Linked DNA regions of Tamandua tetradactyla. The protein of the gene in region 1 binds, or shares a complex with, the protein of each later gene. Links are inferred from orthologs where the notes say so. Each region holds a gene or a part of one and is shown on either strand. Other genes may lie near its edges.

Region 1 (7,673 bases):
GTCTGATGTGGACCTTTATCCAAGGCTACTCTCCCCCTTACTCACTAGGTAGCCCCACGTTGCAGAGCATCTGGCACAAAATAAGCATTCAAGGCATGCATGCTGACTGAATGAAAGGGAAGGTCCCCACTTCAGTGCACTAACTGCCCAGGCACTAAGGTCTACAGACGAAGCAGCCAAAAGCCTTCAGGCCCACCCCCAGAGCTTTTCCAGCACCTAGGTCCAGCATATTAGAACACCACTCACTCTAAACAGGGATGCTTGTGGCAGGGCCCTGACAATCAATAGGAGGTAAATGCATCCAATTATTACCTGCTGCCAGCTCAGCAACCTGGGCTACAGAGGTGGGAACCCAAGGTTAAATACTGACCTCCTCGGCATTCTCCAAGTCATCTAGCCCTTCATCCTCCTCCACATCATCAAAGTCATCACCATCAAAACTGTACAAGAAAAAGAGGCCAGTTAGAGCATCACTTAACTGTGATCAAAGAGGGCAGAGATATGGGTCTTACTTGATACCTAGGAGGTACTAAATAAATATCTACTTAATGAATGAAATCAAACTTCTGTTTGATTTTACTACCTCCATCTTTCCCCATCCATTAGGTCTCACTCATCATTGCTGGATCATTACAGTATGTATGTAAACATATAGATATTTCCCTATCTTAAAAACCAAACTTACTCTCTTCTCACACACCCCCACCTCACCCCTACCCTCCATAGCCCTATTTCCATTATTTCCTTTGGAGCAAAATTCCTGAAGGGGATATCCATCCTCATTAACTCCAATTTCTCTTTCTGTTCTGACACAATCTCATTCCAATATGACTTTCATGACCCCACCCCGGTTCCAGCAAGACCCCTTTTTTTTTTGGCATCGGCAGGCTCCGGGAATCGAACCCAGGTCTCCAGCACAGCAGGCAAGAATTCTGCCAGAGCCACTGATGCACTGCCCAGAACCACTCTTTTTGTGGTTAGAAATATGAATGATCTATTTCTGCATTACTAAATCCAAAGAGCAATTCAATTCTCATTCTCATTTAAGTGGACCTATCAGTAGACATGCTAGACAACTCTTCCCCCCTCCATGCAATCTCCTTCACTGGACTTCAAGAACCTTCCCTGCCTTAGTGTTGCCCTGCCTCACAGGCTGCCCCTTCTCAGATTTCTTTGTGGTTTTTCCTCTTTCCTCCTAAGCACTCAATGTCAGAATGATCCAGCACTCTGGCCCTCTCTCCTTCCCTACGGAACTCACTTCCCTGGTGAGCTCATCTGTTTCTTAGTTTTGATTAACTTACTTATGCTGATGACAACCACATTTTTATCTTCAGAATCGACCTCTCCTCTCACCACACATATCCAATTCGTCAGGAAATGTTCCTGGATCTACCTTCAAAATACATCTAGAATGCAACCACTCCTCACCATACCAACTCTACTAGTAACTCCCTTGTGCAAGCCACTACCTTCTCTCACCTTGATTAAACCCCACTAAGCTCCCTGCTTCTGTCCTTATCCCTCTACAGTATATCAACATAGCTACCAGGATGATCCTTATAAAATCTCAAATCACATCATTCCTCTACTCACAATTCTTCGATGGTTCTCCATTTCACTCAGAGTAAAAGCCAAAGTCCTAACAATGGCAACACGCTTACATCATTTGGCAACCTATCACCTGCCTCCCTGACCTCATCCCCTACCATGCTCCCCTTCCAAGATCTACTCTGGTCTCCTGGCTGTTCCTCAGAAACTCCAGACACGCTCCTCCCTAACACCCTATGCTCTAACTCTCCCATCTCTCGCAAAGGCTAATGCCATCACCTTCTACTCTTGTTCAAATGACACCTTCTCCATGAAGCTTTTTCTCAAATGACCGTTCCATTTAAAGCTGTGATGTACTGCTTTGCCCTTTCCTCTATTTTATTTTCCTATAACACTTACCACCTTCTAATATACCATAAACTTTCCACCATACTATACACATACCTACTTATTGTGCCAATTGTGCATCATCTGTCTTTGCACACCCCTCCCCCAATTCATTCATTTCTATAATCCAAGCTCCTGGAATAGAGTCTGACACAAAAATTTATTGATTGAATGAACCAATTCAACCAAATTCAATATGACGTATTTAAAATAACTTCATGACCCCACTTAAATCTTCACCACCATCCTTGACCTCAAGTACCACACCATCACACCCAAGTAAGACAATAACAACCTGTGCCTTCTTCCAGGTTCCCCATCATGGTTGGAAGAACTACCCACACAGTTATTCATCTAGAAAATGCTAACCCTACATCCCTTCTCCCCCTCACACTCATATTTTATCCATCACCAAATCCTGTCAATTCTACTTTCTGAAATCTGTCAAACCTGTACCCTACTCTCCTACTCATGGTAACTTCACAACCTCTGAAGTTTCACCAGCCTCTCTCAGATAATTAAATTTCCCTCCTCTGAATTACTTCTCTACTATATACTTCAACTACTTGTAATATCTCTTATCTAATATTAGCTTTTATATATATATATATATATTAGCTTTTTATGGAACTATTTCTGCCTTTAGAAGGTGAGCGCCTTAAGGTAGGGACAATGCCCAATTCATTTCAATATTTCCAGTACAAGATACAGAGCCTGGCTCTGTGGAAGTCTGTTGAATGGCACCTTATGCACTGATCCCCTCTGGTCCCTTGAGCCTGGGCCTTTCTGTGTCTAGCCTGTGGCGTGGCCTATGCCCCAGTTCCCCGGCCTCCCCTTCTCCAGTTCCGCCGGTCCCCTCAGGTCCTCAGTCTCCTCAGACACAGCCCCTCCACGTCTGGCTTCTCAGCCTCTTCCGACCCGGTCCCGCCTCATCCGCCCCTTCTGAGGCTCCCGCCTAAGTTCACTTCGCTCCCGCACTCACTTGTCCTCGTTATCTGACATGCTGCCCCGGCTGCAGCGACCTCACTCTGCTACGCACACGCGCGCGGCGACACGCACCCAGCCTCCAATTCGCGCGGCGCCCGGCACACTCTGCGGCTGCGCTGAGACCCAGCGGAAATCACTTCCGGGAGGCAGGCAGGAGAGTCAAATATGCGCATGCGCTGGATGGTGGGCGTTCGTTACCTTGGCAGCAAGAGCCGCTAGCTTCAGGCTCCAATAGGAGGAATCGCGGAGTGTTCCTGAGGGTTACGGGAGCCGGGTGCCGCTACAGAGCCGTGGGGACACCCAGGCCGGGCCTCACATTAGGTGAAGTTTCAATTTGGCCTCACCCAATGGGCACTGTTGTGACCACGGCGATCTTAAAGCTCCCTTCCTCCAAAGGGTACATCCTTGCCACAGGCGCCTGGTCAGGATGAGGACTCTCTGTGTGCGCGTGTGTGTGCATATCTGACTATGTATCTGTGTTTTGGGATGTTGGGCCCTGTCGCGATATTGACTGGCAGCATCACTATTCTCCTATGGCCAGACTCCCGACCCCGGCTCCCACATTCAGGTGGAATTGGGGCGTGGGGAAGCAGGGATGTGGCCTGGGAGACAGGGGATGTATCTTTGCACCTTTCTCTCCTCAGGGACCATCCATGACTTCCCAGGAGAGGGTGGGGGCAGTGACCAAAGGAATCGGGCTCTGGCGTTGCCCTAAACGGGCCACATACACCCCGGGAACCTGCGAGCTGCTCAGAGGTCAGTGCATTAAAGGGGTGGTAACAGTTGCCCTCAGTAACTCAGTTCTCCCCTATATGATCTGTGCCTTAGTAATAGCTATCTTAATTTTAAAGATGAGAGCGTGGGGTTCAGAGAGGTTCTGGGTTCAATAGCTTGTAAGTGGCCAAAAGTCAAAAAGTTAAGAATTTTAGAGTAAAGTACTGTGCAGTCTTTAAATCACACACTCCTCCTCCGTAGGAAGCCTTGTCTCCTTCCAATCCATACCTACCCATACCAGCAACATCTATTACTTGCCCTCACACTACGAAATACCTTTTCCTTCATTTAGCTTAGGGAAACCTGTACTTGGATATTTAGTTGTGCCCATTGGATTAATCTCCATTTCCCTTCTAGATTGTTTACTCCATCAGGGCAGGGATTGTGCCTAATATCCTAGTAGGAGGATAATAAATAATAAATAAAGTAAATAAGTAAAATATATAGAACTTAGATGGTGATAAGTGCTATAGGGAAAAAAAATGAAGCAGGGAAGGAAGAAGGAAGGAAGAAAAGGATTGTTCAGGTGTGGAATGGGGGTAAAAGAAGGAGGTGATGCAAATAAGGTGATATGAAGGCATCTGCCTGCAGCCCAGAAGGTCTCATAGAAATGCTTTCTCTTGCAGTTATGATGAAGGAATCCAAACTGACCAACTTCCAGCAACGCCAAATCATGGACACTGTGAAAAGTAAGAAGTAGTCCACAGAGGCTTCCAGGCAGGGGGATTCTGGTACACATTTTTTAAATGTCCCTTCATATTGAAGCATATGGAGAGACCTCGTTTAAAAACAAAAGCCAAAAAAAAAAAAAAAAGAATAGTATTTCTGCACCTTGGCTCTGAAGAAGTGACTCTGTCGGGCCTTTGCCCCTTCTCTGGACATGATTCCTGGCATTATGAAAATTCTCCTGAAGTCTGGCTCTGCCTGACCTTCCCAAGGGATCACAGCCCAATAGGGACTTTGTGCCCAACCAGAATAGTCTCAACACAGTCATGTCTGCAGTCTGTCCCTCCCCATTACACACATACCATATGAGCTCTCCAGAGGAAAGGACTGTGCGTGTGCTTTGTTTGTAGTTTTATTCATTCATAGCTTGGCTAGTGGAAACAAGATGATTGGCTAAATTCAAACTTAGAACACAGAAAACCTTTCTATGGCTCATCTCTTGCTAAACATTGTTATTTGCTTTTAAGAATAGAATAAAAGCGGAAGAATTAAAGGCAGTACACGGGTAGCATAACAAGGTACCCCCTTGAAAATAACCTTGTCCTCTGAGTCAGCATTTAATGAGTCAGAATAGAGGCCTGCACAGTTGCCTTTTAAAGGCAGAATGCCAAGAGGCCCAAGTCTGTTGGGCTTTCCTTGAGTCTGCCCAAAGTTACTGGCTTCCCTAAAATAGGAATGTACCTGTATGGAGGGCATTTGATCAACCACAGACCTGCATGGGAGGAAGAGTCAGAGAGGCAGATATTGACAGTGTCCGTCCATCACTGACTGTGAGAGGGAGGGAGGCTCTGTCAGACCAGTTCAGGGATCAGAATCACTTCCTTGTTGTGGTCAAGGACAACTCAGGCTACCAGAGCCTGGTGCCATCACAAGTTTGAATCACATAACTCTATCTCCATACTCAACAGTCTACTAAGAATTTGGTGTCCCCTGTCACATGACTGCAAAGAGAATGTGCTAGAAATTCCACCAAAAATAAATACCTCAAGTCCAAAGACTGGTCTGCTTGTTCACCACTATAGAGCTGCTCCTAGAACACGAACTCAGTATTTATTGAACAGCTGAATTGTTTCAATGATTAGGCCCACATGAGTAATTGATTTGCCTGGCAGTTTTATTCTCATTAAGAAATTTTCCTTAAAACAAACTAACAAAAAAATTGCTTCCAAGCCTTGGTGTTGAGTCTCAGTTTTCTTTTGGAATTTCTTCTCTACTTCTTTCCTGTGAACCAAATCTTATTCAATGTTTGAAGCTTAGCTCAAATTCTTTTGCAAGCCATAAATACCTTTGCTTCACCTGAACTCCCAGAATTATTTGCTGAGAAAGGTCCAAAGGAAGAAGTAGTATTTGAGCTAACTCTTGACAGAGTTAAGAGTGGACAGGAAGTGGAGAGAATGAGAGGTACATTCTGAGAAACCCAGCATCTCTTTAGAGAAAAGAGATTAATTCATGGTGTGGCTTTAGGTAGATGGCATAAAAAGGGATGATTTGTGGGAAATAATGGCAGCTCCATCCTCCAGTTGCTTGGGACAGATGCCTTGGAATCATCCTTAATTCCTTTCTTTATCCCACATCCATACCCAATCCATCAGCAATCCATCTTCTTAATCTTCAAACTATATCCTGACTTTAACTACTTGTCCCCAACTCCGCTGCTAGCACCTGGCCCAGGTCCCCATCGTCTCACCCCATTATGACATCATTAACCTTAGAACTGACCTCTTTCCTCTTCCCTTGGCCCTCTATACTCTATTTTCAACAGCAGCTGAAGGGATCATGTCACTTCTGTGCTCAAAATCCTCCCATGGGCTTCCTGTCTCATATCAAGCAAAAGCCAGTACCTCCAGATGCCAACAAAGCCCTGCAATCTGGGGCCCTCCATGAGTCCCTAACCTCTGCTCTCATTATGACTCCCTTCACCTCCCCAACCCCCCATGCTCACTCCACCCCTGGTACCTGGCCTCCTGTGTGTTCCCCAAAGCTCCCAGACCCCTCCCACCTCAAGGCCTGTTTCCTATGCCTGGAATGCTCTTTCCCAGGTTACTGGCCTAGTTGGCCTCCTCACCAGTCTCAGCTATTTTCTCAAATGTCACCTCCTTCATGAAGCCTTCCCTGACTACCCTGTTTGGAATCATGGAATTCACTGTTATAGACCCTGTGCTCCATCCCTGCACTGTCATCATCTAACCAACTACGTATTTTACTTATTTTACTATCATCTCCGCTCCCAGCCCAAACATAAGCCCTGTGAGAACAGGGCCTTATCTTAAATTCTATCCCCAGTATCCAGGGCTTGGCACACAGTGGGTACTTAATGCTTATTTGCTGATGGGATGATAGAAGGCTGGGAAGTATCAACAGGGGCCAGATCATAGCAGTGGGTAGGGCATGCTCTAAGCTGGGCTTTAGAATGACTGAGAGGAGGGACAATCAACCAGAGGAGGTGATGTGGTTTTCTAGGCTGCACCAAAGGATGGACCGCAGGAGGGACAGGTGTCCACTACCACCCAAACTGTCCCTCTCTGCTCTTGCCCCCAGCAGGTTTGAGGATTCCCTCCTATAGAATAAAAGCATCGGTACAAAGGCTTGATGTACAAGGGTGTTTATTGCTGCATTGTTTGAAGTAGAAAAAAGAAAAAACTAAAAGCAACCTGAATTTCTGAAACTAAGAGACTAGTTGAATAAATAATATGCTCATTTTAAGGACTAATATACTATAAAAATAAAGTATATTTATTTACTATAAAACTATGTTACATATATAAATGGATTGATCTAGAAAGATGTCCATTATTAATTATTAAGTGAAGAGTCTATTCCTGAATACTGAAGTATGATCAAGTGTTTGAAAAAAAATCATATATGTGCGCATCTGTCTTTGAACATACTCCAAAAGCAGGGCAAGGGACCAGCAAATTATAACTAATGCTCATTGTGGGGGGTGGGGTTGGAGGGGGAAAGGGATATTGCTATAATAAACAGCTGTCACTTTTATGATTAAAAAAACAACAACAACAACAACTAGCCAGGTGAGCCCCCACCCTGGCCCTCCCTTCCCCAGGAGGAGACACTCTGCCCCTGCAATGCAGCCCAACATCCAGCCAGAGGGCATTGCCACCCAAGCCACCAGCCTCTGCCATCCACCTGCCTCCCATCCTGACGGCCCGGCCTCACCTCCGGCCTGCCAATGTGTGCCAAGCCAACGGGGCCTACAGCCGGGAGCAATTCAAACCTCAAGCCATCAGTAAGTG
Region 2 (7,399 bases), on another chromosome or scaffold:
TTGAGTAGAGACAGCATATAGATGGGTCCTGTTTTTTATCCATTCTGCCAGACTATGTCTTTTGATTGGGGAGTTTAGTCCATTAACATTCAGTGTTATTACTGCATGGGTAGTACTTTCTTCTACTATTTTGCTTTCTGGATTTTATATGTTATATCTAATTTTCCTTCTTTTTATCTTTACTCATAGTCTTCCTTTCTGCACTCTTCTCCACACCTCTTTCTTCTGTCTTCGTATCTGTCTCTAGTGCTCCCTTTAGTATTTCTTGCAGAGCTGGTCTCTTGGTCACAAATTCTCTCAGTGATTTTTTGCCTGAAAATGTTTTAATTTCTCCCTCATTTTTGAAGGACAGTTTTGCTGGGTATAGAATTCTTGGTTGACAGTTTTTCTCTTTTAAAAATTTAAATATATCATCCGACTGTCTTCTTGCCTCCATGGTTTCTGCTGAGAGATCTATACATAGTCTTATTGGGCTTCCCTTGTACGTGATGGATTGCTTTTCTCTTGCTGCTTTCAAGATTCGCTCCTTCTCTATGACTTCTGACATTCTGGTCAGTAAATGTCTTGGAGTACGTCTATTTGGATCTATTCTCTTTGGGGTATGCTGCACTTCTTGGATCTGTAATTTTAAGTCTTTCGTAAGGGTTGGGACATTTTCAGTGATAATTTCCTCCATTAGTTTTTCTCCTTCTTTCCCCTTCTCTTCTCCTTCTGGGATACCCACAACACGTATATTCATGTGCTTCATATTGTCTTTCAGTTCCCTGAGTCCCTGCTCATATTTTTCCATTTTTCACCATATTTTCTTTTTCTTGCCAGATTTCAGATGTTCTGTCTTCCAGTTCACTAATCCTATGTTCTGTCTCTCAAAATCTACCATTGTAGGTTTCCATCGTTTTTTTCATCTCTTCTTCTGTGCCTTTCATTCCCATAAGTTCTGTGATTTGTTTTTTCAGACTCTCGATTTCTTCTTTTTGTTCATTCCTTGCCTTCTTTATATCCTCCCTCAATTCATTGATTTGGTTTTTGATGAGGTTTTCTATGTCTGTTTGTATATTCTGAATTAATTGTTTCAGCTTCTGTATCTCATTTGAATTGTTGGTTTGTTCCTTTGACTGGGCCATATCTTCACTTTTCCTAGTGTGATTTGTTATTTTTTGCTGGTGTCTAGGCATTTAATTACCTTAATTAGTTTATTCTGGAGATTGCTTTCACTTCTTTACCTAAAGTTTTCTTGCTGGATGAATTTGTTGTCTATCTGTTCTTTGACATTCAGTTCAGCTTTATCTGGACCTCTAGCTTAAGTTTTGTTTAACAGAGGAGAATTTTTAAGCTCTTGTTTTCTTGTTTCTTGCCCTGCTTGTATGGTGCCTCCCCCACACTTAGGAGGGTCTACTTAGGTATTATAGACCCCAGCTGGATTTTCCCAGATCAAACTGGCCTCCTATCAGGAGGAAAGAGTCACCTGCATCAGTTTTCCCTGAGGGTGAGACCCAGCAGGTTGAAAGACTTTCCTGTGAAGTCTCTGGGCTCTGTTTTTCTTATCCTGCCCGGTATGTGGCGCTTGTCTGCCTGCAGGTCCCAACAGCATAAGATGATGTGGTACCTTTAACTTTGGCAGACTCTCCCTGCTGGGGGCATGGTGGGGACACAGGAGAGGTTGTAGGCTGATTTTAATGGCTTCAAATTACCAAGCCCTAGTGTTTGAATTCCTTGAGGGAGGGATTCCACCTGAGTTAGCTTCACCCCTCCCCTGGGGAAGGTACAGGCTCCAGACAAGCTGTCAAACGAGCTTGTTTCTGCTTATGCCTGAGGCAGTTGCAGCCTGATAAGCCCTGCCGCTGTATTCAAAGGCAGTCAAGCCTTTGTAGAAACAAAGCCACAAAAACCTCTGTTTCCTTTTTTCCTCCCTTTTTTTCTTTTTCCATCAGTGCTGCCCCCTTGGCGCCAGGGCAAAAATGAGAGACCTCCGCTTTGACCAGGTTCACCTGAGCTGGGGGCCTATTTTCAGTAGTCAGAATTTGTTAATTAATTCCACAATTGGCGTTTGGTTGGGCTCAGCCCCTGTTTCTGGTCAAGTCCCTTTCCTTTCCCCTCTGGGAAGCAGCCTGTGGGGGAGAGGCACCGGCCGCCATGGCTTGGGGAACTCACGGTTCTGGGGGGGGCTCACAGCCGGCCCAGCTGGTCCAGACTGGGGTACGCTGTGTGTCCGGTCACTGATGTGGCCCCAGGAGCTGTTCTGTACTGTTTCTGGTTATTTAGTAGTTGCTCTGGAGGACGAACTATAACGTGCACATTGTTAAGCCACCATCTTGGCCTGGAAGTCCCACCTTGTCCTTTTAATACATGAAACCACAAGGAACAGCTCTGTGTAGGCAATTGTTCCTATTCAGTGTTCCCCTTGGTTAAAGTTCTCAGTTCTCAGCTTTGGGGTCATGTCACCGATCTTATTAACCGGCTCAAACCCCAGTCCTCTAACTATTATTATGAGTTCTACTGGCTCCTTAGAACCCACTTCGAGAAACTTTACCTTACTTTGAAACTATATTTTCATTCATGTGTTTGTATGATGTTTTGGTTTGCTAAAGCTGCCATTTCTGCAAAATGCCAGAAATGGATTGGCTTTTATAAAGGTGATTTATTAAATTTCGAGTTACAATTCTAAGGCCATGAAAATGTCCAAATTAAGGCACCAACAAGAGGATACCTTCTTGGAGGAGAGGCAGCTGGCATCTGACCTGTCACATAGGAAGGTATATGGCAACATCTGCTGTCCTTCTCTTCGGGCTTCTGGTTTCAAATGGGTCTCTCAGCTTCTGGTGTCTCCTGGGGTGTTTTCCTTCTATTTCTCCAAATATCTGTGTGTTCTCCAAACGTCCCTCTCTTAAAGGACTCCAGTAAGCGGATTAAGACCCACTTTGAATGAGCAGGACCACATCTTCATGGGAACAATCCGATCAAAAGGTCCCACCTAACAATAGATCTGCCCCCACAAGTTTGGATTAGAAGACCGTGTCTTTTCTGGGGTTCATAACGGTTTCAAACCAGGACATATGACATTAACCATTAATGTCATTTGTTAGGGTATCCTTATTCTCACTTTAGAAGTAAACAAACCAAGTTCTTAGAGGAGAACCTGCCCAGTCAGATCAGGTATCACTCCCACCCCATCCCAGTCCTTTGCCCTCAGGATCGTCACTGCCTGGGAATGAGTCTGTCTTCCACACTGGACTGTGAGCCTGGGGCTCTTCGGTCCCTGCTATGTCCTCAGTATCCTCCAGCACGGGGGTAGGGAGGCACAGAGGAGAGGCTCAGGGAGCATGTGTTGATTGAATGAATGAATGAAATGAGGTGATTATTAAGGAAACAGCAACCTTGGTGGGGCCCGCTTTCTCCAGCCTCTGTCTCTCCTGATGAACCTTGTGGTTGTGCCAATGAGACCCCTTTCTCTAATCCTTGCTAAATAGGGAACTGGGGACCTACCCCTCTTCTCTGCCTGAATCAGCTCCAGGAACTCTCATTTCTCCTGTTATAAGCCCTTATGATTTCCTGAATTTTCCTTCATACTTCTTGTCACACTTGTAATCATATATTTATTTGTATGTTTAATATCTGTTCTTTGAGGACAGAAACAGGGGCGTTTTGGGGGTACCTCTGTGTTCTCAGAGTTCAGCACAGGATCTCAGCTCCCATAATGGTTTCTTGAATGGACAAATAAAAGCTAACATTTATTGAATGCTTAGTATGTGCAAAGCCCCATTTTAACGGCTTTATGTGGGTTAATTTAAAGGTCACCTATGTGGTAGATATTCTAATTGTTCCCAGTTTACAATGAGAAAAATAAACCACAGAGAGGTCAAGTAATTTGATCAAGGTCACACAGCTAGCAGATAGCAGAACCAGGATTTGGACCCAGGAGTTCTGGCTCCAGAGACCCACTTTAGCCACAAACTATACTGCTTTTCCATTATTGACTGAATAAAAACACCTAGCTCAGTCTCTGGAGAACAGTAGGCGCTCAATAAATGGGAAGTTATTTATTCCACAGGGGACAAGGACACAGCAGACACTTTATAAATGATACTTATTTCGTGCGGTGAAGCCATTGCGACCTCGCGGGCCCCGGAGGGATTTCCAATTTCACTGTCATTCTCCCGCAGACTCTACTCGCTGTTGGGATAATCAGGGCAGAAGTAGGAAGAACGAAGCCAACTGAATGGGATCGATCCTCTCGGGACTCCTCCTTCCGCGTTTTGTTTTTTGTCTTCGGCGATCCTCAGCGATGCCTGGGAAACCACCTCCCGCCTCAGAGCGGCCCCCCGAAGTGCGCATGCGCATTACCCTCCTGGCGGAGTGGCGTGCGGCATCAGCCAATGCGCTGTGCGGAAGGTGGAGCGGGACCGCTAAGGCGCCCCAGGGACCTTCCCTTCACTGAATATTAATGAAGGAGGCGTGTCGACGACTTTGCAAACCGGAGTCGGCGCCATGAAGTGAGATGGGGGCTGGGGGTCGCGGCGCGTGACGGGCTCCAGGGCTTGAAGTTGGGAGTACCGGTGGGGGTACCGGTGGGCACCCCTGGGCCCCGGTGGAGCGAGGGGGAGGCCGAAGCGGTGGGGTGGGGGTAGCGGCGGGAACCGTCGGGGTGGTGACGGGGATGGCCCGCGAGGAGACGCCGAGGGGCCCCGGAGGCTCCTGTGGAAGTGGACGACGGGGGAGTGTGGGGGCTGGAGGGAGGGCCGGGGGGCCGGGGGCCTGACCCCGCAGCCCTTGCTGTCAGGCTCAACGTGGACGGGCTGCTGGTCTACTTCCCTTACGACTACATATACCCGGAGCAGTTCTCTTACATGCTGGAGCTGAAACGCACGCTGGACGCCAAGGTGTGTGGGCCCGGCCGGCCGATGCCTTTTTGACTGAGATTACGGGACGTCTAGACCAGGAAAACCCCAAAGTTTTCGATATCTGAGGTTCTGGGGAATCAGGACTCTAAAGCCAGCCTCCCAGGCATCTAAACTAATAAGAGCTGGTAATAGCAGCAGCTAACATCAAAGGCTAAACGTCTCCAGCGGTTAGGAATAAATGGACTTTTGAAGTCTGCTGTCTGGATTGGAATCCAGGACTCACAGTCCACCGGCTGTGTGCCCTCAGGCTAGTCACTTAACTTCCCTGTTCCACTGTATCCTCCCCTGTCAGATACCTCATGGGTTGTTGTGATGGTTAAATGAGTTAATAAACAAAAGACAGTGGTTCACAACCAAGGGCAGTTTGCCTCTCTCCTCCTAGGGGACACTTGGTAACGTCTCGTGACATTTCTGGTTGTCACATAGTGGAGGGGCATGTGTGTTACTGGCATCTAGTGGGTAGAGACCAGGGATGTCGCTAAACATCCTAAAATGTGCCTGATAGCAATAGTGACCAAGACTTATCGGGTCCAAAATGTTGACAGTACAAAGGTTGAGAAACTTGGTTGTAAGGAACCATGCCAGACTGTGGAAGCATTTGTAAATTCAGAGAAAAAGGAGGCTCACCCTCTATCAGATATTGTGCTAAAAATTTAACCCATAGATTTTCACGATCTTCTCAGTCATGCTATGAGGAAGGTTTTAGTAGTAGACCCATTTAGAGAAGAGGATATTGATGCCCAGAGAGGTGAAGATACTTGCCTAAAACAATTCAACAAGCAGGTGGCAGAAGTGGGGTTCAAGCCCATTGCCCCTGGGGACCAAACTTTTAACTGCTATGCTGACCTGCAGCTATTCTGGGAGGGTGGTGGCACCCCAAAAGTTGGGTCCCTGAGATTCTGAGAGCCCATGTGTTATTCCTTCCACCCTCAACTTCAGGGTCATGGCGTCCTGGAGATGCCATCAGGCACTGGGAAGACAGTATCCCTGTTAGCCCTGATCATCGCATACCAGCGGGTGAGTGACTCTCTGGGCCCAGGGAAGGGGTGGGGGAGAGGCCATTCGGGGCTGAGGCCACTTGTCATTGGCAGGCATACCCGCTGGAGGTGACCAAACTCATCTACTGCTCGAGGACCGTGCCTGAGATTGAGAAGGTGAGCTGGGGCCTGTCCCAGGGCCCCCTCCTCTACTCCCGGGACTCCCTTGGTCACCAGCCTTGGGGGATTTGGGGGGCTGGGGAAGGAGCTGGGGTCTGGCTATTTAGGCGCTTGTGCTTTCACTGAGGCTGAGTTTTCCTGGCTGAGCAGGTAATCGAAGAGCTGCGTAAACTGCTCAACTTCTATGAGAAGCAGGAGGGCGAGAAGCTGCCATTCTTGGGACTAGCTCTGAGCTCCCGCAAGAACCTGTGTATTCACCCTGAGGTGAGTGTCTGTTCCCCTCTTTTCCCTAAGCCTGGGCTTGGGGCAACTCCTCTTTCCAGCCAGTAGTCCTAGATCCCCAGACCAGATTCCTCAGGTAGGTATGTGGGTCCCCTGCATGGAATCCCTTTGTCACTTGTCAAATGTGAGCTCATTGTTCATGGCCTAGACCAGCAGGGAGCCTTCCCACCTTCTCCCAGTCAGGAGAGGTTAAAAAGGCATCTCCTGGAGGCTGGCAGACCTCATTTCCTAAGCCCTGAAATTTAGTAGTTTTATCCTCTTGTACAAGTGATTTCTACCCTTGGGCCTCAGTTTTCACTTCTGTAAAATGGAAATAATTAAGTACCTGCCTCATTTGATGGTTGATAACACTGGGCAAGATGATACATATAAAGCCCTTAGAATGTACAGAAAGGTAAAAGAATGTTTGAAACTATCATAGTATTTATATCATGGTGATAGCTGACATAAGGTTATTTCGACAACCATTGTGGTCATCATATGCCAGGTCTTGTTCCAAGTCGTTACAAGACATTATTTGTAAGAATATGCAACAAACAATACATATGATGAATGATCATTTAAGAGAAGTAGTCCAGGCATAAGAATGATGAGATGGGAAAGGGAAGGAAGGGGTCAGTGATCTTGGAGTCTTCCCCTTTGATGAATGAAAAGATTTTGTTATTCTGGAAGGAAGCCCGGGGTTGTTAAGGTGCCCCTGACAGAGTCATGGAGAGTTCAGGGCTGTGCAGGGGCAAAGGGGTTCGTAGTCGGGATGCTCAGTCCTTCCCTGCTTCTGCAGACTTGCTAAGGTTCAGGGTTTATAGGTGTTTCAAAGGATAAACAGTTGTAAAGTTCTAAGTTTTTGATGTTCTCCTCAATGTCTACCCCTTAGATTTGTCAAGTCTTTAATGTTTTAAAAATAAGTGTTAAGAGTCTAAAAGCATTACCTGTTAAGAGTAAATAGTTACTTGTTTAGTCTTGACTGTTTAATAGAAAACAGTTTGATGTGTGAGTTTTCCAAAGAACTAGCTAGAGTCTCTGGCTGGTTGGAGGTGGGAGTGGGCCACTCAGCCTGTCCCC

What was found.
Region 2: POLR2F (region 1) and ERCC2 share a complex: the UniProt entries of both Homo sapiens proteins name them as parts of the TBP-based Pol II pre-initiation complex. The link is inferred for Tamandua tetradactyla from reciprocal best matches to the Homo sapiens genes POLR2F and ERCC2.

The regions. Positions count from the first base shown.
Region 1 is NC_135333.1:30,297,810-30,305,482, reverse strand, and holds the start of POLR2F (DNA-directed RNA polymerases I, II, and III subunit RPABC2), read right to left. Parts: upstream 3,051-7,673; 5' UTR 2,938-3,050; coding exon 2,918-2,937; intron 441-2,917; coding exon 371-440; intron 1-370. Other genes in the region: C7H22orf23 (UPF0193 protein EVG1), read left to right, coding at 3,350-3,376, 3,567-3,678, 4,323-4,385, 7,484-7,666. UniProt on the Homo sapiens protein: DNA-dependent RNA polymerase catalyzes the transcription of DNA into RNA using the four ribonucleoside triphosphates as substrates.
Region 2 is NC_135342.1:15,626,424-15,633,822, forward strand, and holds the start of ERCC2 (general transcription and DNA repair factor IIH helicase subunit XPD), read left to right. Parts: upstream 1-4,357; 5' UTR 4,358-4,485; coding exon 4,486-4,490; exon of another isoform or gene 4,491-4,565; intron 4,566-4,777; coding exon 4,778-4,877; intron 4,878-5,837; coding exon 5,838-5,915; intron 5,916-5,989; coding exon 5,990-6,052; intron 6,053-6,205; coding exon 6,206-6,319; intron 6,320-7,399. UniProt on the Homo sapiens protein: ATP-dependent 5'-3' DNA helicase. Component of the general transcription and DNA repair factor IIH (TFIIH) core complex, not absolutely essential for minimal transcription in vitro.